7 linked regions of the Macaca mulatta genome follow. The protein of the gene in region 4 interacts with the protein of the main gene of each other region in a pairwise test. Links are inferred from orthologs where the notes say so. Each region holds a gene or a part of one and is shown on either strand. Other genes may lie near its edges. The genes, in order: MAPT, SH2B1, HSP90AA1, EGFR, CAMLG, PRDX1 and ARPC5.

Region 1 (4,109 bases), on a different chromosome or scaffold from region 4:
ATTGGCTCATGAGACATTCTGAAGTCAGAAGGCTAGGGCAGATCGCTTTCAGCAAGCCCCCACGGTGGTTCTCACTCCTACTTCTTTGGATATATGCCCCTCTGTTTAAAAATAAAGTTAATATGGATAAAAAAAAAAAGAAAGAAAAAGGTCAGTTCCAGAAACTCAGTGTGAATAAAGCATTTTACTTGCTTTTTCTATTAATCTATAACATATGTTGGTTTTTAAAAAATAATGTAAGAACCATGCAAATTGGAGCTTCAAGACAACTTCCCATCTCCCTAGGAGGAGACGGCTGCCCTAAACCCCCATACATAGAAATCCACCCACTGCCAGGGCTTAAATTTGACGTTGGGGAAATGAAAAATCCAAGCTAAGGCCGAAGCTTGGTGCCTGGGTGACCAGTAGAATGAGGACCACTGGTCAGTTTCAGGCTGAGATGCCTCTTCAGGGGACAATCTCCAGCTGGCCCTTAAACATTCAGACTTCAAACTCTACTTACAGCATAAAGATGTTTCAAAAGACGTGATACAAATAACTGTGTGTGCAAATGTTCTGCGATGTGTTAAGCACTATTTCAATTTCGTCTAATTTAAGATTTCTTTTCTAGCGTCACGGTTACATACATCATAGATCCAAATGCTTTTTTTTAAAGTACAGTTCTACTGTATTGTAACAGAGTTAGCTTGCTTTAAGTGAATTTGTTAAGGAAAGGATTCACCTTGGTCAGTAACAAAAAAGATGGGAAAAAAGCAAGGAGAAAGGAAGCAGCCTGGGGAAAAGCGACCTTAGCCAGGGGGGCGATTTCGGGACTCGGAGGGTCGGGGTGGACGGACTGGGGAGCTGGCCACGTGGAAGGTCGCTCAGGACCTCTCCAGGAGAGGACACCGCCTCAGGCTGACTGAAAGGAAAGGGGCAGGAGACCCACTGGCGGAGTCACTGGCCTTGCCCCGACCCCGCAGGGCCCGAAGAAGACACCCACCCCTCCAACGAGACAAAGGCTCCAGCTATGGGAGGCGGAGAGTGCGCGTGCGCCATGGAACGCGCGTGCGCGCTGCGGTCAGCGCCGCGGCCTGAGGCGTAGGGGGAGGGGCACCGGGAAAGGGCAGCGCCGAGAGGAACCAGCCGGGAGGCGCCGGACAGCCGAGCGGCAGGGCGCTCGCGCGCGCCCACTGGTGGCCGGAGGAGAAGGCTCCCGCGGAGGCCGGGCTGCCCGCCCCCTCCCCTGGGGAGGCTCGCGCTCCCGCTGCTCGCGCCTGCGCCGCCTGCCGGCCTCGGGAACGCGCCCTCTTCGCCGGCGCGCGCCCTCGCAGTCACCGCCACCCACCAGCTCCGGCACCAACAGCAGCGCCGCTGCCACCGCCCACCTTCTGCCGCCGCCACCACAGCCACCTTCTCCTCCTCCGCTGTCCTCTCCCGTCCTCGCCTCTGTCGACTATCAGGTAAGCGCCGCGGCTCCGAAATCTGCCTCGCCGTCCGCCCCTGTGCACCCCTGCGCCGCCGCCCCTAGCCCTCAGCCTCCACAGACTGGGGCTTCGTGCGCCGGGCATCGGTCGGGGCGACCGCAGGGCCCCTCCCTGCCTCCCCTGCTCGGGGGCTGGGGCCAGGGCGGCCTGGAAAGGGACGTGAGCAAGGGATGCACGCACGCCTGAGTGCGCGCGTGTGTGTGTGCTGGAGGGTCTTCACCCGCTTCGCGCCGACCCCAGGTGGAGGCCGTGCCGGCAGGGTGGGGCGCGGCGGCGGTGACTTGGGGGAGGGGGCTGCCCTTCACTCTCGACCGCAGTCTTTTGCCGCAATGGGCGTGCGTGGGGGGGAGGGGTCCGATAACGACCCCCGAAACCGAACCTGAAATCCGCTGTCCCTGCCGCTGTTCGCCATCAGCCCTAAGGAAGATGTGGATCGGGTTCTAGAAAAGATGACTGACTCCCTGCACGCCCCTCCCTTTACCTCCCGAGCAGTGATTCCGACAGGGCCTTCACCGCCCCTGATTTTAGGCGGGGGCCGGCCCCCTCCCCTTTTCCTCCTTCAGAAACCCGTAGGGGACATTTGGGGGCTGGGAGGAATCGAGGAGATGGGGAGGGGTCCAGGCGCTGTCACTTTAGTTGCCCTTCCCCCTGCGCACGCCTGGCACAGAGACGCGAGCAGCGCCGTGCCTGAGAACAGTGCGAGGATCCCAGTGTGCACGCTCGCAAAGGCAGGGGTCACCTGGCCTGGCGATGTGGACGGAGTCGGCGGCCGCCGGTCCCCGCTCGCGGGCAGGCACAGCAGCAGCCATGCACTGACGGGCGCGGGGCTGCAGGTGCATCTCGGGGCGGGTTTCTTTCTCAGCGCTCCGCGCGCAGGGTGCCCGGCGTGTGCGCTCCCTGCCGGAGGCGCGGGGCTGGCGCGCAGGGCTCGCCCCTCACTGCGGCAGTGGGTGTGGATCCTGGTGGGCGAGGAGGGGGGAGGATAGGCTGTGCCTCCTCCCACTCCCGAGGTGCCATCTTTTTTCGGCGTGTCACGTCTTTACGGTGCCATGCCAAACCGGGTGGCCGGGCTTCGTAGGACAGGGCGGGGCCTGGCATTAAAGGGAGGGGGACAATCAGCGCTGAAATCTTGGCGTTTTGCTGCTGCGGGCGTGAGCGCTGGGGGCGTTCACCCAGCACCTTCTTCGGGGGCTCTTTGCTTTGTCTGTAGAGGTTACGTGATCTGCGCTCCCAGCCCTGGTTTCTGGCTTTTATTCTGAGGGTGTTTAGCCAACCTCCCCCCACCCCCAAGCACCTCTTTCCTTTTTCGTTCCTCATTTCCGAGCCCATTGTTGGATCTCGAGGCTTGCTGGGGTCGACGAACCCGAGTCAACCCCCCGACCCCCGGCACGCATGGAACGGGCGTGACCGCGCGCAGCCTCGTCTCGGAGTCTGCGGGCGCCAGGAAGCTTCTGAAGGGATGGGATTCGAGTCTCCGTGCTGCGCTGCGGGCGGCGGCAGAGGGATCACGCCCCTCCCAACACCCCGAGTGTCCTGAGGGCCAAGCCACACCAGGTTGCCCAACGAGGGACGCTGGCTACCCATTCGGGGATGGGTGGGGAGCCCCGGTGGGGCCTCTCCAGCTTTACGCCCTGTTGCTTCGCCTGGCGGGAGAATGTGAGGAGGGGGCATAAGGTTACTGGTGCTGCGGCCACACCCATTTTTCTGAGCCCACTGGAGGGGGCACAGAGGGGGAATTGCCATGGGAACCACAGGCGTCCGGAGAGGGGACCTTGGGGCTGGCCCCACCCCTTCCCTGGGGAGATTGGGGACCCTGGGGTAGGCGGGGCCGCGCCCAGTTGGCCTCCTGGAGGACACGGGAGGAAGCCCCCAACCCCTGCACCTGAGACTCTAATTGGCCTCTGGCGGCCGCAGATAGGCAGCCCTTGGGTGTATTTTTATTAATATTATGTCTGTACTGATTAATATTATTTATCGTAAATGCGGGATTTCACCCGTATCCAAGTTCACCGTACCCCCAAAACCGAGTCTGGGGCTGCAAGGAGAACTCCTGGCCAAGGCATCCGAGCCTCGCCCTCCTGTGATGAACCTGGTACGCGCCGTTTTCTGGTTAATTCTATCGATGAAAACTGGTGCGGGGGGGCGCACTTCTGAGACGAACGAGCATCTAGGAGCTGAATCCTTCACGCGGGCTGCCCAGGTTGATCTGAATTTCCGGGGAATGGCTTGACTGGGGAACTAGAGCCCGCCCGGGACCAGGCTGACCTTCCTCGACGGTGGCGTCGAGGGCTGGAGCCTGAGTGCTGCGAGGCTTCCCGCATGGCTGAGCCACCGCAAGGGGTTGCAGAGCGGCTCAGGGGTCAGTTCAAGCATCTTCTCTCCTCCCTCGCCCCCAGACAGAGCTGGGCGCGGGATTCCGGTTCCAGATGGAGTGAGGGTCTCGGGACGGCCCTGGAAAAGGGGAGCCCACGGTCAAGGCTGCCTGTTGCCATCTCGAGCAGAGATGTCACCTGCTGCCGTTGGAGGAAAGGGAGCCCGGTGGGGATGAGCGCATTTAGCCCAATGCTGGGAACAAAGCACAATCCGCGCTTCTGCGATTTCGCTCCATTTTGAAATGTGTTGGCGCTTTGGTTGGGCCACTGC
Region 2 (3,500 bases), on a different chromosome or scaffold from region 4:
TCCAGATTAGGCCTCCACTATAGCCTTTTCTCCTGACCCTCTGTTCTGAGTTCCAGCTGCATAGTGCCTAGCACACAGGCTGTATTCAGTGAATGAACACATGAATCATGGAATCTTAGATCTAGAGTGGACCGTGCATCTCATCAGATCTCAGTAGCTAAGACCAGGGAGAGGACACCTGAGGGTCACTGAGGAAGACAGGGGCTGTGCCACCCTGTCTCCCAAGCCATGCTGTCTGTGCACCACACGCCTGTGTTCTGAGCACTGCCTGCCTGTGACATTTGTGTAGGCTGTGGCCTGCCATTGGACAGACTTGGAGGATGCCCCTAGTGCATACCTGGCCCTGCGCTGTGTCCCGGGCCAGGATGGGGTAGCTAGGATGCCTGAGATGAGCTGCTTGTCCTCTGGAGGTTTTCAGCTGGGTTCACGTCACTCCCTGTAGAAAGCTTAATGTCCCCTGAGCAGCACAAGCAGGAAGCACGTTGGGAGCTCAGGGGAGGAAGAGAGCAGGGGAAGGTGGGAGAGACAGGGACTGTGACGCCAAGGAGAGGAGAGGACACGCCTGGGGATGCAAAGGGCAAGAGCAGAGACCTGTGGGGAGGGCCCAGGATATGGGGACAAATTGGATGGGATAATTGGGTTAAAGCGGAAGAGACATGAATACAAGGTGAGGTAAAGACCAAGTTGGTGTGGGTTGGGGGAGTAATAGAAGGAGCATCTTTGATGCCTCCTAGAGTTAGGGGGCTTTGTCCTATAGTTCAACAAAGGACACTTTTTTTTTGTTTGCTTGTGTGTTTTTGAAATTTTTTTATTTTTAAAAATTACTGTTTTTGTTTTTGAGATAAGGTCTCGCTCTGTCTCCCAGGCTGGAGTGCAGTGGTGCAATCACAACTTCCTGCAGCCTTGACCTCCCTGGCTCAAGCCGCTCAAGTTGCTGGTACCATAGGCGTGTGCCACCACCACACCTAGCTAATTTTTTTTTTTTTTTTGTAAGAGATGGGGTCTCACCATGTTGCCCAAACTGGTCTTGAACTCCTGGGCTCAAGTCATTCTTACACCTTGGCCTCCCAAAGGGCTGGGATTACAGGCGTGAGCCACTGTGTCCAGCCAGAATTCTGTGTGTGTGTGTGTGTGTGTGTTTTGAGACAGAGACTTGCTCTGTCACCCCGGCTGTGTGTGTGTGTGTGTGTGTATGTGTGTGTTTTGAGACAGAGACTTGCTCTGTCACCCCGGCTGTGTGTGTTTGTGTGTGTGTGTGTGTGTGTGTTGAGACAGAGACTTGCTCTGTCACCCAGGCTGCAGTGCAGTGAAACAATCTCAGCTCACTGCAACCTCCACCTCCTGGGTTCAAGCAATTCTCCTGCCTCAGCCTCCCAAGTAGCCGGGATTACAGGTGTGCACACCACGTCCAGCTAATTTTTGTATTTTTAGTAGAGACGGTGTTTCACCATGTTGTCTAGGCTGCTCTCAAACTCCTAACCTCAAGTGATCCTCCCACCTCAACCTCCCAAAGTGCTGGGATTACAGGTGTAAGCCACCGCGCCCGGCCCAGGACTCCTTTTGAATGTCAAAATATTTCAGGCAGCTGGGCACGGTGGCTCATGCCTGTGATCCCAGAGCTGAGGTGGGCAGATCACTTGAGTCCAGGAACTCAGGGCCGACCTGGGCTATTATATAGCGAGACCCCTTCTCTACAAAAACACATATGTATATATTTAAGACGTTCTACCCTCTGTTTCTGCAGTATTTCAGCTGTTGATTCAGAAAAAGATAGAGACACATTTGGACTTTAGGACCTCCTTGCAATAACTCTGCAGTCCCTCAGCAGCACAGGAAGCATCAGTTGGGAGCCATTGGTAAAAGCATCAGGGGTCACTACCCACAGAGCTGTCTGGCATCTTGGCCAGCGACTACACATAGGGTAGACTACTGGTGAGGAAATGGGCCCAGGACAGTCCTTAAGAAGAGGAGTTTCTTGGGTTCTCAGCTTTGCCCTTTTTCTTTCCAGGGGCGTACGGGGGCCTCTCAGACCGCCCCTCGGCATCCATCTCCCCCAGCTCTGCCTCCATTGCCGCTTCCCATTTTGACTCGATGGAACTGCTTCCCCCAGAGTTGCCCCCCCGCATCCCCATTGAAGAGGGACCCCCAGCAGGGACAGTTCATCCCCTCTCAGCCCCCTACCCTCCCTTGGACACTCCGGAAACAGCCACAGGTACCGGAGGTGTGAGTGTGCATGTCTCCAGGCTTGGGTGCCTGCCTTCCTGACCACCCCTCCTGGGATCCCGAGGGAGCTGGCCCGGGGGAGTTGGGGACGCATGCGGGGAGCAGGCGCCTCGAGGGGAAGGCAAAGCTTTTTTCTCCCAGGATGGGGGAGGCTGCCCTGACACCCCGGTTTCCCTCCCTCTCTCCTTCCTGAAGGGTCCTTCCTGTTCCAGGGGGAGCCAGAGGGCAGTGAGGGGGACCAGCCCCTCTCAGGGTATCCTTGGTTCCACGGGATGCTCTCTCGGCTCAAGGCTGCGCAGTTGGTGCTGACTGGCGGCACTGGCTCCCACGGTGTCTTCCTGGTGCGCCAGAGTGAGACAAGGCGGGGTGAATACGTCCTCACCTTCAACTTCCAGGGCAAGGCCAAGGTGAGCCACCCTTCAGGAAAGGCTCTGTTTTGTGCAGAGTTGGCGGTGGGGTGGCGGAGTGCTGCCGGGGGAGGGGGTTTGTACCTGGCAGGGTCTTTGCCTCCTACCTCACCTCACCCGTCCCGCCCTCAGCACCTGCGTTTGTCGCTGAACGAGGAGGGTCAGTGCCGGGTCCAGCACCTGTGGTTCCAGTCCATTTTCGATATGCTCGAGCACTTCCGGGTGCACCCCATCCCTCTGGAGTCAGGAGGCTCCAGTGATGTTGTCCTTGTCAGCTATGTCCCATCCTCCCAGCGACAGCAGGGTGAGCAGAGCAGGTCTGCAGGGGAGGAGGTGCCCGTGCACCCAAGAAGTGAGGTGTGTGTGCCAGAAAGATGGGGCGGGGGGGCTATGACAAGGAGAAGCTTTGCTTGGGAGAGCAGGGTAGAGGAGGCTGCTGTGCCTGGGGGTTTGGAAGGGAAAGAAATGCGCTGATAGGACACAGGAAGGCAGAAGGCTCCTGGCTGGAGCCGGGGCGGCAGCTGAGAGGTGGGCGGGCGCATCCCCATTCCATCGGATCCTCTGTTCCATTGTCTGTCTGTCTCCTGGACCCATCCTGGCCTCGTCTTTGCCCACCATCGCAGCCTGGCCTTGGGCCTGCCCTTCCCGGGGTCGCTCGGTCTGATCCCCCTCCCTCCTCCCTCAATGTCTCATGTCCCTGTCTGATCTCTCCCTTTCCCCTGCCCCACCGTCCCATCTGTCCCCACGTTGCCCCTCCCCCCAGGCCGGGAGCAGGCTGGGAGCCATGCGGGGGTGTGCGAGGGAGATGGATGCCACCCCGATGCCTCCTGCACCCTCATGCCCTTCGGAGCGAGTGACTGTGTGTAAGTG
Region 3 (4,122 bases), on a different chromosome or scaffold from region 4:
AGCTTCCAGATTATTCCGAGGACCTGGCTATGAGTTTAGGCAGGAGGAGGCCCAATCATGGGAGGCGCCAGAGAGGAAGAGGACATGGACGAGGCATGGGAGCCAAGTCTAAGGAACCCCAACACCTCTAAGGTTCTCATAGCTGGCCTTGACCAAAATATCTGAAAATTCTCATGTAGAAACTGGTTCTTCCAGCCTGAGCAACATGGTGAAACCCCAACTATACAAATAAATACAAAAACTAGCCGGGTGTGGTGTCCGCGCTTGTGGTCCTCCGCCCGCGCTCGTCCCAGTTACTCGGAAAGCTGAAGTAGGAGGATCACCTGAGCCCGGGAGGTCGAAGCTGCGGTGAGCCAAGATTGTGCCACAGCACCCCAGCCTGGGCGACAGAGGGACAGCCTGTCCAAAAACAAAAAAACACCAAACCTGTCTTTTAGGGAAGGTTAATCACCAAAATGTCAAGTGTTAGATACTTAATTTGGAGACCTCAAATCGATCGGCAAAACGATGGGCTTTTAAAAAGCATGCCGGGTGTAGCTGGGTAAGCATGAATTTATTCACCAAGGGCCCGATTCCCAAGCTAAGGGACCCTGAAGTGTGAAGGACATGGCTTCCGGGGAACCCAAAGGTAGGGAGCGCTCCTGAGCCAGCAGTGGGTCTGGAGACTCCCCGAGCGCGCAGGCCGCGGGACGGCGTCCCCTGCGCGCAGCAGCTAGAAGCCAACAGCCCAAAGGCCCCCAGGGAGCAGAGCCCCGCGATCCCGGCGCCGCCTGCGGCTGGATTTTTTGGCAGCGGGCGCGCCGTCCGTGAGGATGACGGCTCCGGTAGTCTCCCGGGCGTGCGAGACCCGGGGCGCTCCCCGTCCACGCACGGCCCTCCCTCCAGGCGCGCCTCCCGCCCCAGCCCCGCATTCTGCGCAGCCCGGGTGACCAAACTACACCTCACTTCAAAGGCCCCCACGCCCGGGCGTGCCCTCCGCCCGCGCTCGGCAGGTGGGAGTGCAGGGAGGAGGGCGCGGGCGGCCCCAGAAGGCGCCCGGACCTTCCCGAGAATTCCAGGCCGCGCAGGCGCATTGAGGTCGGCGCGGGGGCGTGCGAGAGGCGCGGGGCGGTGATTGAGGGAAGGTTTCCCGGGCTGGGCCATGAGCAGGGCCTGCGCGCGCCAGCGGGAGGGGCGGGCCACGGCGAGGGCGCAGGCGCAGGCGCGCGGCCGCGGCGGCGGTTGGGGAGGGTTCTTCCGGAAGGTTCGGGAGGCTTCTGGAAAAAGCGCCGCGCGCTGGGCGGGCCCGTCGCTATATAAGGCAGGCGCGGGGGCGGCGCGTCAGTTGCTTCAGCGTCTTGGTGCTGCTGTGCCGTGGAACGTTTGCAGCCTTTTAGCCAAGGTGTGAGGGGCGGTTGTGGGGGCCTGTGGAGGTGGATTGGGGAGTGGGGGCGGTTGGCGCGGAGCGGAGGCTGTGGGGGCCGAACGGGAGCCCTGAACCCGCCAGGGCCGCTCTCCCGGGAGGCCGCGCTGCCTATTCCGGAGGCCGTGGGCCCGCTGCTGTCTCCGCAGCCCGCCTCAGGAATGGGCTGGGCGGCTGCTCCCCGAGTCTCCGCGGCAGCCCCGGAGCTGGCGCCGCACGCGAGCAGAGCGGCCCTTTGGCTGGGGGCCCCCCGGGCGGCCCAGCTGGGGCGCAGGCGGAGGAGGCCGCCCTGGCGGAGCCGCGGCCCGCGCGGGAGGGCACACGGGGTGTCGGTTGGGGACCGCGGCGCGGGACTGGGCCGGGCCTGCAGTGGCCTCCCGGAAGCGCGCACACGCTCGTGGTAGTTACCGCGCTCCGAAATGAGGTCATCCTTTGTCAGCCGCCCTTCTATTTTCGGTTTACTTAAACTTCGCAAATCTGCAATCCGGCTTTAAAAATATTGGGAGGACGCGATGGAATCTCGTGTTGCCCCTGTAGACGCCCTGCAGGGTTTTAAACCGGCGCGGTGTCGTTCCAGATGCCTGAGGAAACGCAGACCCAGGACCAACCGATGGAGGAGGAGGAGGTTGAGACGTTCGCCTTTCAGGCAGAAATTGCCCAGTTGATGTCATTGATTATCAATACTTTTTATTCGAACAAAGAGATCTTTCTAAGAGAGCTAATTTCAAATTCATCAGATGTAAGTCGTTTATTAACCCAGAATAGGATTTTGGTTTCAATATGAACTTCTTGGGGGCTGTATGCTTAATTAATATTTTGTGTTAATAGGCATTGGACAAAATCCGCTATGAGAGCTTGACGGATCCCAGTAAATTAGACTCTGGGAAAGAGCTGCATATTAACCTGATACCAAATAAACAAGATCGAACCCTCACTATTGTGGATACTGGAATTGGGATGACCAAGGCTGACTTGATCAATAACCTTGGTACTATCGCCAAGTCTGGGACCAAAGCGTTCATGGAAGCTTTGCAGGCTGGTGCAGATATCTCCATGATTGGCCAGTTCGGTGTTGGTTTTTATTCTGCTTATTTGGTTGCTGAGAAAGTAACTGTGATCACCAAACATAACGATGATGAGCAGTACGCCTGGGAGTCCTCAGCAGGGGGATCATTTACAGTGAGGACAGACACAGGTAGGTACCTGAACACTCACTGGTTAAGTCAGTGGCGGAATGGTGGGGTGTTGCAACCCTTGGACCCCTGGGGATGCGGCGAAGTTCACAGAAAGTGTGTTTACCCAAGGATCAGGAACAAGCTAGAGCTCTGAATTAGTGTGTAATGGCATGACTTGGTGATTACTTCTTTTGGGCAAGGCACTTAGATCTGCTGTGGGAGCCTTTGCATCTGTAGTAAGGGCAAACCTCGCTTCATAGACACGTTATAAGGGTTAAGCATGGCGTTGAGCACTAAATTGAATGTATTATTGAGTCAATTTTCCTTATTTCTCTTGCAGGTGAACCTATGGGTCGTGGAACAAAGGTTATCCTACACCTGAAAGAAGACCAAACTGAGTACTTGGAGGAACGAAGAATAAAGGAGATTGTGAAGAAACATTCTCAGTTTATTGGATATCCCATTACTCTTTTTGTAAGTTTCTACATAATTGCAGAGTGAATTACTGTCTGTAGGTGACTGGGGTGACTGTACTACATCCTTAGTTCCTAGGTCTGTTGAACTAGTTTGAAGCCTGGGGAACCTAAGCTCTACTAACTGTGAAGGTTCCTCGGGTTATTAAGTAGATATATCAAATATTGATGAGAAGCTGCCTGGCTGCTTCTCATCCTCGGTAATTTAGGCTTTGGCCTTAGGTTGAAAGTAGTGGGGCAGCGCTATGACTTAGTTCTAGAGTGCAGCAGTGATGCGATTTCATGTCTTTTGAAGGTGGAGAAGGAACGTGATAAAGAAGTCAGCGATGATGAGGCTGAAGAAAAAGAAGACAAAGAAGAAGAAAAAGAAAAAGAAGAGAAAGAGTCTGAAGACAAACCTGAAATTGAAGATGTTGGTTCTGATGAGGAAGAAGAAGAAAAGAAGGATGGTGACAAGAAGAAGAAAAAGAAGATTAAGGAGAAGTACATCGATCAAGAAGAACTCAACAAAACAAAGCCCATCTGGACCAGAAATCCCGACGATATTACTAATGAGGAGTATGGAGAATTCTACAAGAGCTTGACCAATGACTGGGAAGATCACTTGGCAGTGAAGGTGAGTGAGGGACTGATGGATGCTTCAAGCTTGTCTTTAGATTATCATCCCACCACCCCAAATATCTGCTATAATGCATTGTTCATTGATACTTAGTGTGTTTGTTCTATTACAGCATTTTTCAGTTGAAGGGCAGTTGGAATTCAGAGCCCTTCTATTTGTCCCACGACGTGCTCCTTTTGACCTGTTTGAAAACAGAAAGAAAAAGAACAACATCAAATTGTATGTACGCAGAGTTTTCATCATGGATAACTGTGAGGAGCTAATCCCTGAATATCTGAGTAAGTATAGATAGGAAAAATAATCACTGTCACTGATTAAAGAAATACTTCTGGCTGGGCATGGTGGCTCACACCTGTAATCCTAGCAGTTTGGGAACCCGGGGTGTGCGGATCACTTGAGGTCAGGAGTTCAAGACAAGCCTGGCCAACATGGTGAAACTCCATCTCTCCTGAA
Region 4 (4,012 bases):
GCTTGCCGTGGTGAAAAACCCACCGTTCAGGCTGCAGGGCGTGAAACCCAGGCACAAACACTTCGCTGGATGCGGAGGAAAGATGCAAGGTTGCTCCCCTTCAGAGACAGCAAAGGGCAGATCTGTAGCTCTACTTACTTCAGGATTATGATTTTTGACAGAGCCGGGAGATCAGGGTTGTTGAACCAGGCCTGAAGGTCCTAGTGAATCTCGTGAAGAGAGGAGGGGTCTGACTGTAACATGGACCTAGAGGACATTCTTACTGCAGGAGAAGCAACAGTGGGGATGGGGTGGACTTGCCAAAGGAATGTAGCTCAAGTTCCTGCAGCCTAAAGCAGCTCAGTTTCTTTCGGCCAAACTTTCGCGAACTTCCCTGGCATTTCTCCTGCGGGAGCTACCGGTGCAGTGGGACACTTAGCCTCTCTAAAAGCATCTCCACAGCTGTTTGTGTCAAGCCTTTATTCCAAGAGCCTCACTTTTGCGAAGTAACGTGCTTCACACATTGGCTTCAAAGTACCCACGGCCGGTTGCAGTAAACATTGAGGAGGCCTGTCTCTGCGCCCAAAGTTGGGTGCTCTCATTTCAGACGATTTCTAGGGTGCTTCACGGGATCTGAAGGACCCTCGGACTTTAGAGCACCACCTCGGACGCCTGGCACCCCTGCCGCGCGGGCACAGCGACCTCCTCAGCTGCCAGGCCAGCCTCTGATCCCCGCGAGGGTCCCTGGGTGCTGCAGGGGAGGTGGGGACCAGAATAAAGGAGCAGTTTCCCCGTCGGTGCCATTATTCGACGCTGGCTCTAGGGCTCGGCCAGTCTGTCTAAAGCTGGTAGAAGTTTGTTCTGTAAAACAAAAGAAGGGAAAGGGGGAAGGGGACCCTGGCACAGATTTGGCTCGACCTCGACATAGGCTGGGCCTGCAAGTCTGCGGGGACCCAGTCCAGAGGGGCAGTGCTGTGAACGCCCCTCACGGAAATTAACTCCTCAGGGCACCCGCTCCCCTCCCGCGCGCCACCCCCTTCCCGCGGGAGACCGGGTCCCGCGGGGGTCACCGCTGTCCACCGCCTCCGGCGGCCGCTGGCCTTGGGTCCCCGCGGCTGGTTCTCCTCCCTCCTCCTCTCATTCTCCTCCTCCTCTGCTCCTCCCGATCCCTCCTCCGCCGCCTGGTCCCTCCTCCTCCCGCCCTGCCTCCCCGCGCCCCGGCCCGCGCGAGCTAGACGTCCGGGCAGCCCCCGGCGCAGCGCGGCCGCAGCAGCCTCCGCCCCCGGCACGGTGTGCGCGCCCGCCGCGGCCAAAGCGGCCGGAGTCCCGAGCTAGCCCCGGCGGCCGCCGCCGCCCAGACCGGACGACAGGCCACCTCGTCGGCGTCCGCCCGAGTCCCCGCCTCGCCGCTAACGCCACAACCACCGCGCACGGCCGCCTGACTCCGTCCACTATTGATCCGGAGAGCCGGAGCTTGCTCTTCGGGGAGCAGCTATGCGACCCTCCGGGACGGCCGGGGCCGCGCTCCTGGCGCTGCTGGCTGCGCTCTGCCCCGCGAGTCGGGCTCTGGAGGAAAAGAAAGGTAAGGGCGTGTCTCGCCGGCTCCCGCGCTGCCCCCGGATCGCGCCCCGGACCCCGCAGCCAGCCCAGCCGCGCACCGGCGCACCGGCTCGGCGCCCGCGCCCCCGCCCGTCCTTTCCTGTTTCCTTGAGATCAGCTGCGCCGCCGGCCGGGACCGCGGGAGGAACGGGACGTTTCGTTCTTGGGCCAGGAGAGTCTGGGGCGGGCGGGGGAGGAGACGCGTGGGGCACTGGGCTGCGGGCCGGCGGGGAAACGGCCGCCTGGACCTCCGGCGCCCCGAACCGCTCCCAACTTTCCACCCTCACTTTCCCCGCCCCGCTGCGCGGAATCGGCGTCAGTGGGCGAAAGCCCCGTGCGGGTGGGTGCCTGGGGCCGGGGTCCCGCACGTGCGCCCCGCGCTGTCTTCCCAGGGCGCGGCGGGGTCGCGGCGCGCACCCGAGGGACTGGCGCTGCCCACCCGCCGAGGCTGCGCTGTTTAGGGAAGCTGAGGAAGGACCCCGAAAATAAAGCCTCCCTTCGGACCCCGCGGGACAGGCGGCTTCCTGAGCGAACCTCCCTGCCTCCGCGCTCCGCGCAGGTCTCAAACTGAAGCCGGAGCCGGCCAGCCTGACCCCGGCCCCTCTCCAGGTCCCCGCGATCCTCGTTCCCAGGTGTGGAGTCGCAGCCTCAACCTGGGAGCTGGGAGAAGTCCGCCACCACCTGCGGCGCCTGGGAAGGGGTGGTGCTGGCGGCGGTTAACTTCCTCGTTGGCAAAAGGCAGGTGGGGTCCGACCCGCCCCTTGGGCGCAGACCCCGGCCGCTCGCCTCACCCGGCGCGCCCTCGTCTTGCCGGTCCAGGTATGCCCCCCACCTCCTGGGGACCCGAGCTCCCTCCCGGGCGCCGGCGCAGAAAGGCCCGGGCTCTCGTTCGGTGGCCGCCTCGCGGGGACGTCCGGGTCTGCCCCACCTGCAGCCCTTCGGTCGCGCCTGGGCTTCGCGGTGGAGGGGGACGCGGCTGTCCGGCCACTGCTGGGGGGATCGCGGCCTCTAGTGCGGAAGCCCAGGAAGCAGAGCTCATCCTGGCCAGCACCACGGTGTTTCAAAATGGGGCTCACAGCAAAGTTTTCTCCTCAAAACCCGGAGAGTTTCTTTCTTGGATGTTTCTTTTTGCTGTCTGAAGAATTTGACATTGAGCCAACCAAAATATTAAACCTGTCTTACACACACACACACACACACACACACACACACACACACACACCGGATTGATGTCCCTGGTTCAAGTGTGCCAAGTGTCCAGACAGAACATGAGCGAGTCTGGCTTCGTGACTACTGACCATAAACCCACTTGACACGGGAAACATGCCTCGGAAGGTTTAATTGCACAATTCCAACCTTGAGCTGCGCGGGTTCCAAGAGCCAGGCCCGTACTTGCTGTTGATGTCACTGGCATGGGGAGTTGGGGTTTGGTGCCCAGCGCGGTCGTTGGGGGAGGGGCAAGACATAGAACAGTGGTTCCCAGACCTTGCTGCACGTTAGAATTACCTGGGATTAAAAAAAAAAAAAATCAAAACAAAAACCAGTGTCTGAATCCCGCCCCCAGACATTCTGATTTAATTGGCATGGGGCAAGACCTGGACATGGGATTTTTTTTTTAATGCTTTTCATGTGATCTGTTGGGGAGCCAGGTTTGGGGATCACCGGACGGAAGAAGGATTGTTAAAGTCTCCGGAGAGATTACTTGCCAATGCAAAGAGCTCTTTGAGGACATCTGGAATTTTAACAATGTTGCCAAATATAGGAAAGAGGGAAAAGGTGGGGTGTGGTTCCAATAATAAAAGATTCCTCTTTTCATTGAAGGAACTGGTGGAAAGGTTTCTTCTCTGCTGAGCTTGCAGGGCCCCTCCTGCCTGCTTGGGGGCTGACTGCGGGTCCTGTTAGTCAGGTGTCAGCCCTGTCTCTGCTGAAGAGACTCTTCTCTTTATTTTAAATTAAACCCTCAGAGCACCTCCAAAGCATCACTTTTCTCCCTCCAGTGGGGTTCTCATTCTTTGATGTTACTTGCTTGAACACCACTGTTAGTGATTGGAGATTTGTTCCTGAGAAAAATATAAATACCACTTAATTTGCCTGTTTATCCCGTATTCACTCAAAACAGAAACTCCTGAAGACAGAGAGAGTAGGTGAACAGGCGCTATTCTGTTACAGTAACATAAAAGACTGAATTTTCAGGGGCAAATTATTAAAGTAGGAGATGAGCTCTTTTAACAGAAATTTGTTTGAGACCTGTGTCTATCAAATTCAGTCGATTTTATTCAAGATGCACTTTGTTTAGTAAGGGTTTTGTTTGGTTCTGGGACATGCTAACTTCTGGACTTGCTGCTCTTAGACGTAATGACTGCCAGACACCGTTTCATGCGTCCTAATCCCCACATTAAGCATAAGAGGTGTACACTCTCCTCCTATGGGGGAA
Region 5 (4,163 bases), on a different chromosome or scaffold from region 4:
CTGTAATCCCAGCTACTCAGGAGGCTGAGACAGGAGAATCCCTTGAACCAGGGAGGCAGAGGTTGCGTTGAGCCAAGATAGCACCATTGCACTCTAGCCTGGGCAACAAGAGCAAAACTCCATCTCAAAAAAATAAAAACGATGTTTATAGTAACTCATCTAGACCATATTTGGGGGGAAAAGGACATCTATGCTATTGGGTTGCTTGCTTCAATTCTTCACATCCCATTTTGTTTTTGCTTGCTTAAAACATACTTCTAAAAAGTGAAAACTCAAAAGCAAAAAGTTCCAATTCTGAGTTTAGTATACAGCAATAAAAATTTTGTAAATACCTTCCAATTTCACATGTATGAATCATTTCTTTGATTAAATACTTGTGCTGGAGTAAAAATTAAGATACTAACTCAACAAGAAAAGTTACAATGTGCAGACTTAACATTAGACAATTCAGTTTCTTTCATTTTATTTTTCAGATGACTTCATTTCTCAGGACAGAATGACACAAATACAAGAAGCAGTCTCTAGGGCTGGCTGAGACTACGTTTATCTGTTCTCCTAAAAGCACTAGTTCAGCTCCCAAAAGAAGAATTACAAATCTGAGAAGTTAGAGGAAAGGTACAGAATAAGGATTCTGATTAAACAAGAAAAATCAATTAATGACATTGGTACTCTGTTCTTCATATCAGTAATAATACAAACTCAGCCCTTTTAAATCAGAGAATCTGCCATTCTATTTCTAATAAAGTAGTTTTGCAACCCCTAAAGTAAAAGAATTACATGAAGGTGTAAACTAATTTGCCTCCTTTAGAGACACTGCAATATAAAAGAGGATTTTTTTTTTTTTGTAAGCTTCTCCTTCTCAGTTCTGCAGGCTTCATGGTACTTCAGAGCCCCAATAATCAAGCAGTTCATGACAAAAGATAAAGGTGAAAAAGTAGACACAGAGATCTGTGAAGACTTCGCCCATTTTGCTATAGGTATCCATTGATCGATTTATCACTTCAGCAGGAATTCCCGATAATAAAAGTGCAGCTGTTAGTACTGTTGTCTTTATCTTCTTTTCACTCTGTGTAGAGAAAGACTCACATTAATCTTCAAAGTTTCAGCAGACTACATAAGCTCTATACAAACATAATCAATACTGCTATTTTCAACCTAAATGATTTAAAAACTGTTAATGATATTTTAAAACAATCAGTAATATACCAACATTTACTGAGCACATAATATGTAAATCTTCAAACTGCTAGACAATAGCAGATTATCAGTCTTGCTTTTTTTTTTTTTTTGAGACAGTCTCGCTCTGTCGCCCAGGCTGGAGTGCAATGGCTCGATCTCGGCTCACTGCAACCTCCGCCTCCCGGGTTCAAGTGATTCTCCTGCCTCTGCTTCCTGAGTAACTGGGATTACAGGCGCTTGCCACCACGCCTGGCTAATTTTCATATTTTTAGTAGAGACACCTCAGCCTCCCGAGTAGGTGGGACCACAGGCGCACGCTCAGCTAATTTTTGTTATCTGTTGTAGAAACAGTCTTCCTATGTTTCCCAGGGTGGTCTTAAACTTGTAAGCTGAAGCCATCAGCTAGCCTCAGCCTCCCAAAGTGCTGGGATTAGAGACTGCACTTGGCCTGAAGGCCTGTTTTTAATTCTACTTCCCCTGAAGTCCTCCTTGTGCTTTATTTACATAAAACACTGGAGTAATTTATATCTCCTGTGAGCTCCTACGTCACACATTATCCATGTCAGTCATTTAGCAGTTATTTATGTCCTGTCTAGTAATATTTCTTTTTATATTGTACTGTTTTAATATATAAAATTTATATTTTATATTATTTTATATTGTACTGTATATTTTATATTTATATTGTATAATATATTCTTGTTTTTATATTGTACTGTATATATAATAAATTATTATTTATGTCATGCTTCCAAGATGACATTTTCAAAAAACTTTTAATAGCAAGACTGGGCTGGGCGCAGTGGCTCACGCTTGTAATCCTGACACTTTGAGAGGCCAAGGCGGGCAGCTCACGAGGTCAGGAGATTGAGACCAGCCTGACCAACATGGTGAAACCCTGTCTCTACTAAAATACAAAAAATAGCCGGGCACGGTGGTGGGTGCCTGTAGTCCCAGCTACTCAGGAGCCTGAGGCAGGAGAATTGCCTGAATCCACAACGTGGAGGTTGCAGTGAGCCGAGATCGCGCCACTGAACTCCAGTCTGGGCGACAGAGCGAGACTCCCTCTTAAAAAAAAAAAAAGCAGAATTTTTCTTTATTATCACAAAATCCAATCATATGGTTTAAAAATTTTTTTAGTATAAAAACCTATAGTTACCTAAGAGAAATGAAAGCTTATGCTCACAAAAAGCCTCATACAAGGAAGCTCTTAGTCATAATAACCCAAAACTGAAAACAACCAAGATGTCCATCTACAGGAGACTAGATAAATGGATACAGTCATACAATGGAGTATTATTGAGCCAAGAAAAAAAAAAGAAATTAACTACTGATTTATCCAACATGGATAAATCTCAAAAATATCATGCAGAATAAAAGAAGGCATGCAGAAAAAAGTAAAATCAAGAATGATCCCACTTATATGAATTACTATGCCAAACACAACTAATCTATGGTGGGAAAAAGATCTTTGGGGTATAGGGACTGGGACTGCCTGGAAAGGAGCATGAAGGAAACTCTTGGGGTGACAGCAAAGTTATAAACCTTGGAAGAGGTATGGGTTTCACAGGATGTCAAACATATCAAATGGTACAATTAAGAAGAGCATTTCAAACAATCAATTAATTATGCTGGTACCCTAGTCTTCATATTAGAACTAATTTTTTTTTTCCTTTTTTTTTGAGACGTAGTCTCGCTCTGTTGCTCAGGCTGGAGTGCAATGGCAGGATCTCGGCCCACCGCCACCTCCACCTTCTGGGTTCAAGCGATTCTCCCACATCAGCCTCCCCAGTAGCTGGGATTATAGGTACCCACCATCATGCCTGGCAAATTTTTGTAGAGATGGGGTTTCACCATGTTGGCCAGGCTGGTCTTGAACTCCTGACTTCAGGTGATCCGCCCATCTCGGCCTCCCAAAGTGCTGGGATTACAGGCATGAACCACTGCGCCCGGCCTCAGAACTAATTTTACCTTAAAATTTTACCTAAAAAAGGCCGGGCGCGGCGGCTCACACCTGTAATCGCAGCACTTTGGAAGGCGGAGGTGGGCGAATCACAAGGTCAAGAGATAGAGACCAGAGACCAGCTGGGCACAGTGGCTCATGCCTGTAATTACAGCACTTTGGGAGGCTGAGGTGGGCAGATCACAAGGTCAGGAGATCAAGATTGTCTTGGCCAACATGGTGAAACCCCGTCTCTACTAAAATACAAAAAATTAGCTGGGTGTGGTGGCATATGCCTGTAATCTCAGCTACTTGGGAGGCTGAGGCAGGGGAATCGCTTGAACCTAGGACGCAGAGGTTGCAGTGAGCAAGATCATGCTATTGCACTCCAGTCTGGCCAAAGAGCAAGACTCCATCTCAAAAAAAAAAAAAAAAAAAAAAAAAGAGAGAGACCATCCTGCTCAACATGGTGAAACCCTGTCTCTACTAAAAATACAAAAATTAGCTGGGCTTGGTGGCACGTGCCTGTAGTCCCAGCTATTTGGGAGGCTGAGGTGGGAGAATCGCTTGAACCTGGGAGGCAGAGGTTGCAGTGAGCCAAGATTGTGCCCACTGCACTCCAGCCTGGTAACAAAGTGAGACTACATCTAAAAAAAATTTTTTTTTTTACTTAAAAAAAGAACCTTAAAACAGTAAATTGTAAGTTAATGTTATGTAAGAGGGGTGAGGTATACCGATGTGTACACCTACAATATACTTTGAAATGCATCAAGAAAAATTTGATGGAAAAACTTTACAGAGATTATCTTGGGTTTGAAAACTAAAAATCTGATAGATACGTAATATAATAAGATGCTACTTGTAGAATCTAGGTGGTATTATATAAATGGGTGTTCACGGCACAATTCTTTCAACTTTTGTGTTTATTTATTTTTGAGACAGTCTTGCTCTGTCGCCCAGGAGTGCAGTGGCGCTATCTTGGCTCACTGTAAATTCTGCCACCCGGGTTCCAGCAATTCTCCTGCCTCAGACTTCAAGTAGC
Region 6 (4,133 bases), on a different chromosome or scaffold from region 4:
GGCCTAAATCTACATTTTTACACAAGATAAGGTGAATGTTTGAGGAAAATGGGAATAGCGGAAGAAAACAATTGTGTGATGGACTCAGGGTAATCTAGTAGTAAGGTACTACTAGAAAGGTAGAAAGTAGTCTAGTAGAAAGGTAATATAGTAGTCAACATTTATGGAATTTGTGGAATAGAGGCCAGGTGAGGTGGCTCGCGCCTATATTCGTAGCACTTTGGGAGGACAAGGTGGGTGAATCACCTGAGGTCAGGCGTTGGAGGCCAGCCTAGCCAACAGGATGAAACCCCGTCTCTACTAAAAATATAAAAAATTAGCTGGGCATGGTGGTGCGTGCCTGTAGTCCCAGATACTCCGGAGGCTAGGCGGGAGAATCGCTTGAGCCCGGGAGGTGGAGGTTGCAGTAAGCCTACACCGTGCCACTGCACTACAGCCTGGGCGACAGGGTGAGTGAGACTCGTCTCAAAAAAAATGTGGAATACAACAAACTTTCGTTTTAGGAACTAGACTTTAGATTGCAGATCTAGTTACAATTGACACGTCCTTGTTTTATGGGAGGCTACATACTTTAAAGGTTTCCAGGGTAGCAAATAATTGTGATTTTGTGTATGTGTGTTTGTGGGGGGTAGTCATCAGGAAGTGTCTGAGGCCTTTTGCCTTACTGTGTAGGTCTGGCTAATGTGTAATATTTTGACTCAAGATTGTAAAGTCAAGTTATTCATCCGGGGAAAGGATGGTCGTGTAGCTGAATCAGCGTCCTAAACTGAACTTTCCCTTTGGCATAAGTTTAGGAGTCCTGATATTTTATTTTGCTTTACAACAGAAAGCAGCAACCCTGTAATCAAAGAGAACAATGAAGGAAGCTATCTAACCCATGAGGGTTACTGAGGATCTGCGCTGGGGTTAAGGCTGCTTAACTTAAGAAATATTCGGACAGACAGTTCTCATGGCTTGGTGTGGTTAGACGTGGTCATCCGTGGGCAGCAGCTAGGACGCTTACTCCGGTTTGGGCATTAAGGGCACAGTGCGTAGTGGTCCTGGAAGTAAAGGGAATCCTGGTTTTTCGCAGAGACCTTGGATTAACCTAAGCGTTTGGGTTTGGGAGCGGCCACAAGAGCGCCTCACTCCAGCCTCAGCCATCCGCAGCAGGGAGAGGTATTAGTATTTCCGCGCCCGCCCCCACGAGGAAAAGCGCCGAGTCATTCCGGTGGGGCGCGCCGGGCGGGGCTCGGGCCACATCCCCCTCCTCTTTCTTCTCTTCCAGAACCCCTGGTCCGCTCCGACTCTCGCGAGAGCCCTACTGGCTATAAAGGCAGCGCCCCGGGCGGATTTTGCGCGTTTTGTTCTTGCCTGTTTTGTTCTTCCGTGGTGTTGATCTGTGAGTTGTGTTAGGACTGGTGAGTGTGGGCAGCGCGGCCTCTGCGGAGTGAGGCGCGGCGCGCCTTTCTTGTCTGTTGCCTCTTCCTTCTCCTGTCCGGGGCTCGCCCGCCCTTGGGTGGGGGTACTGTGATGCGTGAGGCGGCCGGGGGAGACCCGGAGCCCGAGACTGCCTGAGCGCTACGCGCACCCCTCTCATGGGCCCCCCACGTAGGTGCGGGGACGTGGGACCCCAAGGCTAGCGTGGACTCGAGTCGAGTCGTTCCCCGGCAACTTGAGCACGTGGCGCGGCGTCTGGGCGGGCTGGTGGTGGGGTCTCCAAGACTAGCCTCCTGTCGGGCGGGGTGGGTTCGGGAAGCTTCTGGAATGGACCTGTATCCGGACTCGTGGCTGTAGAAGACAGCCTGTATTTTTGTCCATCTTGTGATAGGGTAAATGCTGTTCCGGGTCCTGAGCCTTGACTAGCTGCGGAGCTTCGGGTACCCTTTCCCCGTCTTTATTTTCCTGTACGTGGAATGGAGTTAGTGATGAGCCCAAATGTCCCCGCTGAAGCACTCTTTCTGCTGGTACTTTACACAGTGCTGGGGAGGGACAGGGGTACCTGAAGTGGGGTTCAGGGGTGTGGCCCTCGGCACTGGGCAGATCCCCTGAAGGGGCCCGGCGCCGGCCTGAAGCAGCCTTTACCCCGAATTGGTTGGGTTTGGTACTTGGGAGCCACCTGGGAAAGTAGGATGGGACGAGAAGGCCATTTGGGGACACCAAGTTGCAGCATGCATTAGTTTCTGGTTTTTGTTTTTTGTCGTTAAAGGTGTTAAGGACTTTTTAAAAAACAGTTTTTAAAGAACTTTAGGACTTGGAAAAACTTTTAGACTGCGGCTCAGTGGGTTAAAACTCTGTTTTTTTTTTTGAGAGAGTCTCGCTCTGTCGGCCAGGCTGGAGTAGCAGTGGTGCGGTCTCGGCTTACTGGGACAACCTCTGTCTGCCGAACTCAAGCAATTCTCCTCCCTCAGTCTCGCGAGTAGCTGGAATTACAGGCGTGTGCCACCAAGCCCCGGCAAATTTTTGCTGTTTTTCTTTTCTTTTTTTTTGAGATGGAGTCTCGCTTTGTCGCCCAGGCTGGAGTGCAGTGGTGCGATCTCGGCTCACTGCAAGCTCCGCCTCGCGGGTTCAGCCATTCTCCTGCATCAGCTCCTGAGTAGCTGGAACTGCAGACGCCGGTCACCACGCCCGGCTAATTTTTTTTTTTTTTTTGTAGTTGTAGTAGAGACGGGGTTTCACCATGTTGGCCAGGCCTGTCGCGAACTTTTTTTTTTTTTTTTTTTGAGACGGAGTCTTGCTCTGTCTCCTAGGCTGGAGTGCAGTGGCGGGATCTCGGCTCACTGCAGCCTCCATCTCCCGGTTTCAAGTGATTCTCCTGCCTCAGCCTCCGGAGTAGCTGGGACTACGGGCGCGTGCCACCACACCCGGCTAACTTTTTGTATTTTTGTTAGAGACGGGGTTTAACTATGTTGGCCGGGCTATTCTCGAACTCCTGACTTGAGGTGATCTGCCTGTCTCAGCTACCAAAGTGCTGGCATTACAGGCCAAGATCTCGATGCTTATCTTGGTGTTGATCTGGGTGAATCCTGCGCAACCTTCCTTTTCAGAAGTAAATTGATTCTTGTTCTACTTCTTTTCGCCCTGGGATATTAGCCCAGAAGTCAGGAACCCATTTGTGAAGGGACTTCTAGGGCTTACACAATACCTAAAGATTTGAAATTAAGCAGACGCCAATATCTTGGTCTTCCCGCGCCCCCCCCCCCCACCGGCTTTTTTTTTTCTTCACTGTATGGCCCAGAGTGAAAAGTCTCACTCTGTCGCCCAGGCTGCAGTGCAGTGGTGTGATCTTGCCTTACTGCAACCTCTGCCTCCCGGGTTCAAGCGATTCACCTGCTTCAGCAGCCTCCTGAGTAGTTGCGATTACAGGCATGCACCACCACTCTCGGCTAATTTTTGTATTTTTAGTAGAGACAGGGTTTCACCATGTTGGCCAGACTGGTCTTGAACTCCTGACCTTGTGATCCGCCTGCCTCGGCCTTCGGAAGTGCTGGGATTACAGGTGTGAGCCACCGCGCCCAGTGGTCTTGCCTCTTAAAAGTTGGACTGGCTGGAAGGGTGCGGTGGCTCACACCTGTAATCCCAGCATTTTGGGAGGCTGAGTTGGGCGATCACCTGAGGTGAGGAGTTCGAGACCAGCCTGACCAACATGGAGAAACCCTTTCTCTAATAAAACTACAAAAAAATTAGCCGGGTGTAGTGGCTAGCGCCTGTAATCCCAGATACTCCGGAGGCTGAGGCAGGAGAATCACTTGAACCCTAGAGGTGGAGGTTGCGGTGAGCCGAGATAGCGCCATTGCACTCCAGCCTGGGCCCCAAGAGCGAAACTCCGTCCAAAAAAAATAAAATAAAACAAGTTGTGTTAGTTATAGGTCGACCGTGTGCTGTCTTTGACAAAGCTACCTGGAGAAAAGTCAAATATGCTTCTGACGTTATTAAGGCAGGTGGAGGCACAGTAATGGGAAAGGTCAACATGACTATGAGCCAAACAAAAGTGTTTGTGGCATTGTGCATTCGGATTCTGGTTTGAGAGTCTTCACCTGCCTCCCTCTCTGCTTCTGTCTAATGAATAAGATGCCACTGCACTAATTATGGTTCAGAAAGAGTGAGAGGTTTTCTTAGTATATAAAGAAATTGCCTTGTCGTTTTTAAATGAA
Region 7 (4,013 bases), on a different chromosome or scaffold from region 4:
AGTGCTCTTTTCAACACAGCACTGGAAACCAAAGATTGTGGCACACAACAGGACAACAGCCAGTCTTCTGTTCGAGGTCCAACTAAACTAGACCCATACCTGAGCAATGTCCAGCCAAATGTCCAAATTAATTTTATCCTGCAAATATTTGTTCTTCAGTGTAATACACACAGCACAACTACCATTTCCTTCGTCTTAGTGCCTTTATCTCCTACATTCCGGAAATGGGGATGTCAAATATTTTTTTTAAAATCTGGCCTAGATGGAATCATATAAATCTTAAATCATAATATAAATCTTAAAGGTCTGGTTTCCACCAATCCTTACCCATTTTGTTTTCCCCCAGCACTAGAGAGCCTAACCTACCCTCACCCCTTTTCAGCATTCTTGCTCCAAACAACCACCTATTTTAAGATGTCAATGACCCTTTCCCAAATTCTACAAATTCACCCCAGTTTTGCCAACCGACCCCAGCGCCTGCCCGGACACATTCCCCTCCCTCCCAGTAGATTTGATACCGAGTTCAGGTTCTGCAGATCCCGTCGTGATGCTGTCACACAGCACTGACAGATAAGATTTGACCTTTCGACTCCGTCCTTGGGGACCTCCCGCTGGCCAAGTAGGGTAGTTCCAACCCCAGGAAACGGGCTTCCCGCTCAGGAACGCAGCCCCTAGCAGCGCACAGTCCGAGGTAACGTCTCCGGCAATTAGAACGATGCTGGGCGCCCGGGTGTGCATCACTCCGCCTCATACTCCTGCCAACTGCAGGGCACTCGGTCCGGCAGCCAAGTCCATCCCACCCACATCCAAGTCCCAGCCAGTCGGACCTTACGCAGGACCCGGATGACAGGTCGTTGACGGCTGCAGCAAAAGTCAATGCCACCTGCCGCTGCTGCCCATCACCGACAACCTCAGACCCCCTAGACTGGACCGCAGAAAAGCGTTTCTATGGGAACCCCCTGGGAATCACGTGACGCACTCGGACGACCAATCGTTTCTTACCTCCGCCCGCGATCCAGGTTTCGGCCCTCCCTCTCGCCCCCTCCTCCTTCGCCCAGCCCCGCCCCTTGCCTACGGAGAGCCCGCGCCTGCGCGCTGTGTCCTGCGCCCTCCCTCCCCCGCGCGCGCTCTCCGTGAAAGAGTGGGGGCGGCGTGGGAGGCGCCAGGAGAGCGTGAACCTGAGGAGGAAGCAGCAGGGTTGGCGCGCAGGCCCAGAACCGTCCCAGCCACGGCAGCCGGCGACGCCCCAGAGCGGAAGAGGGAAGTGAATCAGGCGCCGGGCAGTGGGCTGCTGGGCTCGGCTTGCTGAGGTAGAGGCAGCTCCAAGAAGAGGCCTTTGCCGCTGGTAGGGATTGGGATGTCGAAGAACACAGTGTCGTCAGCCCGGTTCCGGAAGGTGGACGTGGATGAATATGACGAGAACAAGTTCGTGGACGAAGAAGATGGGGGCGACGGCCAGGCCGGGCCCGATGAGGGCGAGGTGGACTCCTGCCTACGGCAATATCCTTGCATTCGCCGCCCTCCCCACCCTAGCCCAGCCCAGCCCGCCCTTGTCCAGAGACCCGGGAGCCTGAAGGTTCCGCGGGGCCCCGGCGCGGAGCTGCCCTGTCTACCTGCGGCTAAACCTGTCTCTTTGGGGTCTCCCGCTCTGAGAGGGCAGGAGGAAGCCCCCGTTTCCTACTCAGGAGCCAGGAGACGCGAGGGTCCCACTCTTGGAAGCCTGCCCTCCCCCGCGCGCCTTCCACGCCCCCAGATTCCTCAGGTTGCACCCGAGTGCCTGCCTGCCTCGGGAACCGGTCCCGCCGGCCGCGCCTTCGCGGCGTTGGGGAAGGCGGCCCGGGCTGGTGGGGAAGGCTGGTGCCGAGCGCCTAAGTTTTTCTTCCTAGAACTCTATTTCCCGGAGTCACATTAGCTCCAGAAATTTCTGATTGTGGGGAACCTGCGTCTTTCCTTAGTGATTTTGTTTTTTGTTGTGTTTTTGTTATTGCTAGCATTAAGATAGTTTATTCCTTACCGGGGGCAGAAGGTAGATGGTACGGTTTGAAAATTGAGGTCCCCTATGCTTTCAGCCCATTGGCCTTTAAAAAAAGAAAAAAAAGGGAGGGGGGGATTTGACAAAATATACATTGCACAGAATTTGTTAACCGGGGGAGGGGAATGAATACAATTTTTTGTATTCCTAAAATTGATTCCATTTTAGTTAAAATATGGCTGTCAGTTCCCGGTTTCTGTTTTTGCATATTTGAATATTCATAACTTTGACTCCGTATTTGCATTACATCTTTTTTAGAAAAATGTAAATGTTGCAAAAAACCGAAGCTATAGTTTTAGAAAATCTCAAACACTGGCTTTTTATGCATTTCTAATTATTGGGTGTATTCATAAGGAAGACTCAATGTCCTGTTATATGAGGAAAATGTGAGTGAAAATATTTAATGGCAACAGTATCCTTTTTTAAAGGCACCTAAATACAGCATTAGACATTTATCAATATATAGCTAGTCCTTTGATTGCCACAACTTTCACAATTAATTAGCTGTTGCTCTTTTGCATTATTTAAATAAGTGCTTGGGGTCATACAAAATGAGCTAATCACATGAGGCATGCTTCTCTAGAAATCCTTGCAGCCTTGAAAATAACAGCTTGTCAACCAGAGATTTTGTGTGTGTGAGAACTTTTTCTTCGGAAGATAAATGGTGAACATGCTTCCTAAAAACATTTGTGATGGATAGATGGTGTTTTATGAAACCCCAATGTATTTTAGGTAATTTATGGTGACTGCTGTGTCCATATCAGTGGATCCGCTTTTTGATCAGTACATCTTAAAATAAAAAGATACTGTCTTTTCTTACCCTTACATACAGCCAGGAAAGACAGCCCTAGTGGTGGGGTACTAGAGATGGAGGAACAAGTGAACTCTGTGGTTTTCCTTTTAGGGGAATGTCTGGTACATTCTGACAGTCTGATTGGCCTTCTGTTTCTCATGCTTGCTAACTCACTAGTGCTTTCAAAGAGAGTCTGAATTTAATAGGTATGGTCTAACACAGTTTGAATAACCGTTGTGAAATATGAGAGAAAATATCTAAAGCAAAAAATTAAGCTGCCACCTAAGGGACATATGAATTATTACATCTTCTGTGATGCCTCTTTTCATCAATATTGAGAGACTGCTAATGTGTATCATTGAGATTGCTAATCTGCCAGCATGTTCTACCAGCATTTCAGTTAATATAGAATATAGTAAAAGTTTGGTCTTTATTTTTTCAATTAGAATCACAGGAAAAGACATATTTTGGTTGATAATAGGTTATTTCATTTGGGGGACTAATAATTCTGATACATATTTTAGGATTTCTTTTTTTTTTTTTTTTTTTTTTTTTGAGACGGGAGTCTCGCTCTGTCACCCAGGCTGGAGTGCAGTGGCCGGATCTCAGCTTACTGCAAGCTCCGCCTCCCGGGTTTAGCCATTCTCCTGCCTCAGCCTCCCGAGTAGCTGGGATTACAGGCGCCCGCCACTTCGCCCGGCTAGTTTTTTGTATTTTTTAGTAGAGACGGGGTTTCACCGTGTTCGCCAGGATGGTCTCGATCTCCTGACCTCGTGATCCGCCGGTCTCGGCCTCCCAAAGTGCTGGGATTACAGGCTTGAGCCACCGCGCCCGGCCTAGGATTTCTTTAACACCACTCTAGGTAATGTTTGCATATGTATCTCACTGGGCAATGAAAGACTATCAAGGTGTTCATTTGATAGTTAGAACCAAGGGTGAAACAGTCTTTGCTTTATTAAAAAGAAAGTCTAATGTTCTGTTTTGCTTTTGATATCTTGCCCTTGATTAACATCCTGGAAACCAACACATTGAATTTCCAGTATTGAACATGGTGACCAGTAATTTTCTTTTTATATATAAAGCAAGTCTTCAGAACCAGTGGTTATAATACTTTCCTGGGGGCCATGCTTTGCTGCTACACCCTTAACTTCCATCACAGGAAACATGACAGCTGCCCTACAGGCAGCT

What was found.
Region 1: the proteins of EGFR (region 4) and MAPT interact in a protein complementation assay, tested with the Homo sapiens proteins (3 studies listed by BioGRID and IntAct, with this or other methods). The link is inferred for Macaca mulatta from reciprocal best matches to the Homo sapiens genes EGFR and MAPT.
Region 2: the proteins of EGFR (region 4) and SH2B1 interact in binary tests that used the Homo sapiens proteins (3 or more experiments, as listed by UniProt). The link is inferred for Macaca mulatta from reciprocal best matches to the Homo sapiens genes EGFR and SH2B1.
Region 3: the proteins of EGFR (region 4) and HSP90AA1 interact in binary tests that used the Homo sapiens proteins (3 or more experiments, as listed by UniProt). The link is inferred for Macaca mulatta from reciprocal best matches to the Homo sapiens genes EGFR and HSP90AA1.
Region 5: the proteins of EGFR (region 4) and CAMLG interact in binary tests that used the Homo sapiens proteins (3 or more experiments, as listed by UniProt). The link is inferred for Macaca mulatta from reciprocal best matches to the Homo sapiens genes EGFR and CAMLG.
Region 6: the proteins of EGFR (region 4) and PRDX1 interact in a protein complementation assay, tested with the Homo sapiens proteins (2 studies listed by BioGRID and IntAct). The link is inferred for Macaca mulatta from reciprocal best matches to the Homo sapiens genes EGFR and PRDX1.
Region 7: the proteins of EGFR (region 4) and ARPC5 interact in a protein complementation assay, tested with the Homo sapiens proteins (2 studies listed by IntAct). The link is inferred for Macaca mulatta from reciprocal best matches to the Homo sapiens genes EGFR and ARPC5.

Annotation. Positions count from the first base shown.
Region 1 is NC_133421.1:70,796,048-70,800,156, forward strand, and holds the start of MAPT (microtubule-associated protein tau), read left to right. Parts: upstream 1-1,309; 5' UTR 1,310-1,442; intron 1,443-2,161; exon of another isoform or gene 2,162-2,299; intron 2,300-4,109. UniProt on the Homo sapiens protein: Promotes microtubule assembly and stability, and might be involved in the establishment and maintenance of neuronal polarity.
Region 2 is NC_133425.1:28,067,778-28,071,277, reverse strand, and holds part of SH2B1 (SH2B adapter protein 1), read left to right. Parts: intron 1-1,987; coding exon 1,988-2,212; intron 2,213-2,418; coding exon 2,419-2,630; intron 2,631-2,762; coding exon 2,763-2,934; coding exon of another isoform or gene 2,935-2,987; intron 2,988-3,393; coding exon of another isoform or gene 3,394-3,493; intron 3,494-3,500. UniProt on the Homo sapiens protein: Adapter protein for several members of the tyrosine kinase receptor family.
Region 3 is NC_133412.1:175,437,709-175,441,830, reverse strand, and holds the start of HSP90AA1 (heat shock protein HSP 90-alpha), read left to right. Parts: upstream 1-1,322; 5' UTR 1,323-1,381; intron 1,382-1,979; coding exon 1,980-2,141; intron 2,142-2,230; coding exon 2,231-2,597; intron 2,598-2,917; coding exon 2,918-3,051; intron 3,052-3,345; coding exon 3,346-3,666; intron 3,667-3,781; coding exon 3,782-3,947; intron 3,948-4,122. UniProt on the Homo sapiens protein: Molecular chaperone that promotes the maturation, structural maintenance and proper regulation of specific target proteins involved for instance in cell cycle control and signal transduction.
Region 4 is NC_133408.1:73,468,115-73,472,126, reverse strand, and holds the start of EGFR (epidermal growth factor receptor), read left to right. Parts: upstream 1-1,212; 5' UTR 1,213-1,473; coding exon 1,474-1,561; intron 1,562-1,700; exon of another isoform or gene 1,701-1,756; intron 1,757-2,112; exon of another isoform or gene 2,113-2,252; intron 2,253-4,012. UniProt on the Homo sapiens protein: Receptor tyrosine kinase binding ligands of the EGF family and activating several signaling cascades to convert extracellular cues into appropriate cellular responses.
Region 5 is NC_133411.1:143,664,713-143,668,875, reverse strand, and holds the end of CAMLG (guided entry of tail-anchored proteins factor CAMLG), read right to left. Parts: intron 1,067-4,163; coding exon 875-1,066; 3' UTR 501-874; downstream 1-500. UniProt on the Homo sapiens protein: Required for the post-translational delivery of tail-anchored (TA) proteins to the endoplasmic reticulum.
Region 6 is NC_133406.1:195,090,957-195,095,089, forward strand, and holds the start of PRDX1 (peroxiredoxin-1), read left to right. Parts: upstream 1-1,333; 5' UTR 1,334-1,400; intron 1,401-4,133. UniProt on the Homo sapiens protein: Thiol-specific peroxidase that catalyzes the reduction of hydrogen peroxide and organic hydroperoxides to water and alcohols, respectively.
Region 7 is NC_133406.1:41,108,321-41,112,333, reverse strand, and holds the start of ARPC5 (actin-related protein 2/3 complex subunit 5), read left to right. Parts: upstream 1-1,213; 5' UTR 1,214-1,357; coding exon 1,358-1,501; exon of another isoform or gene 1,502-2,444; intron 2,445-3,983; coding exon 3,984-4,013. UniProt on the Homo sapiens protein: Component of the Arp2/3 complex, a multiprotein complex that mediates actin polymerization upon stimulation by nucleation-promoting factor (NPF).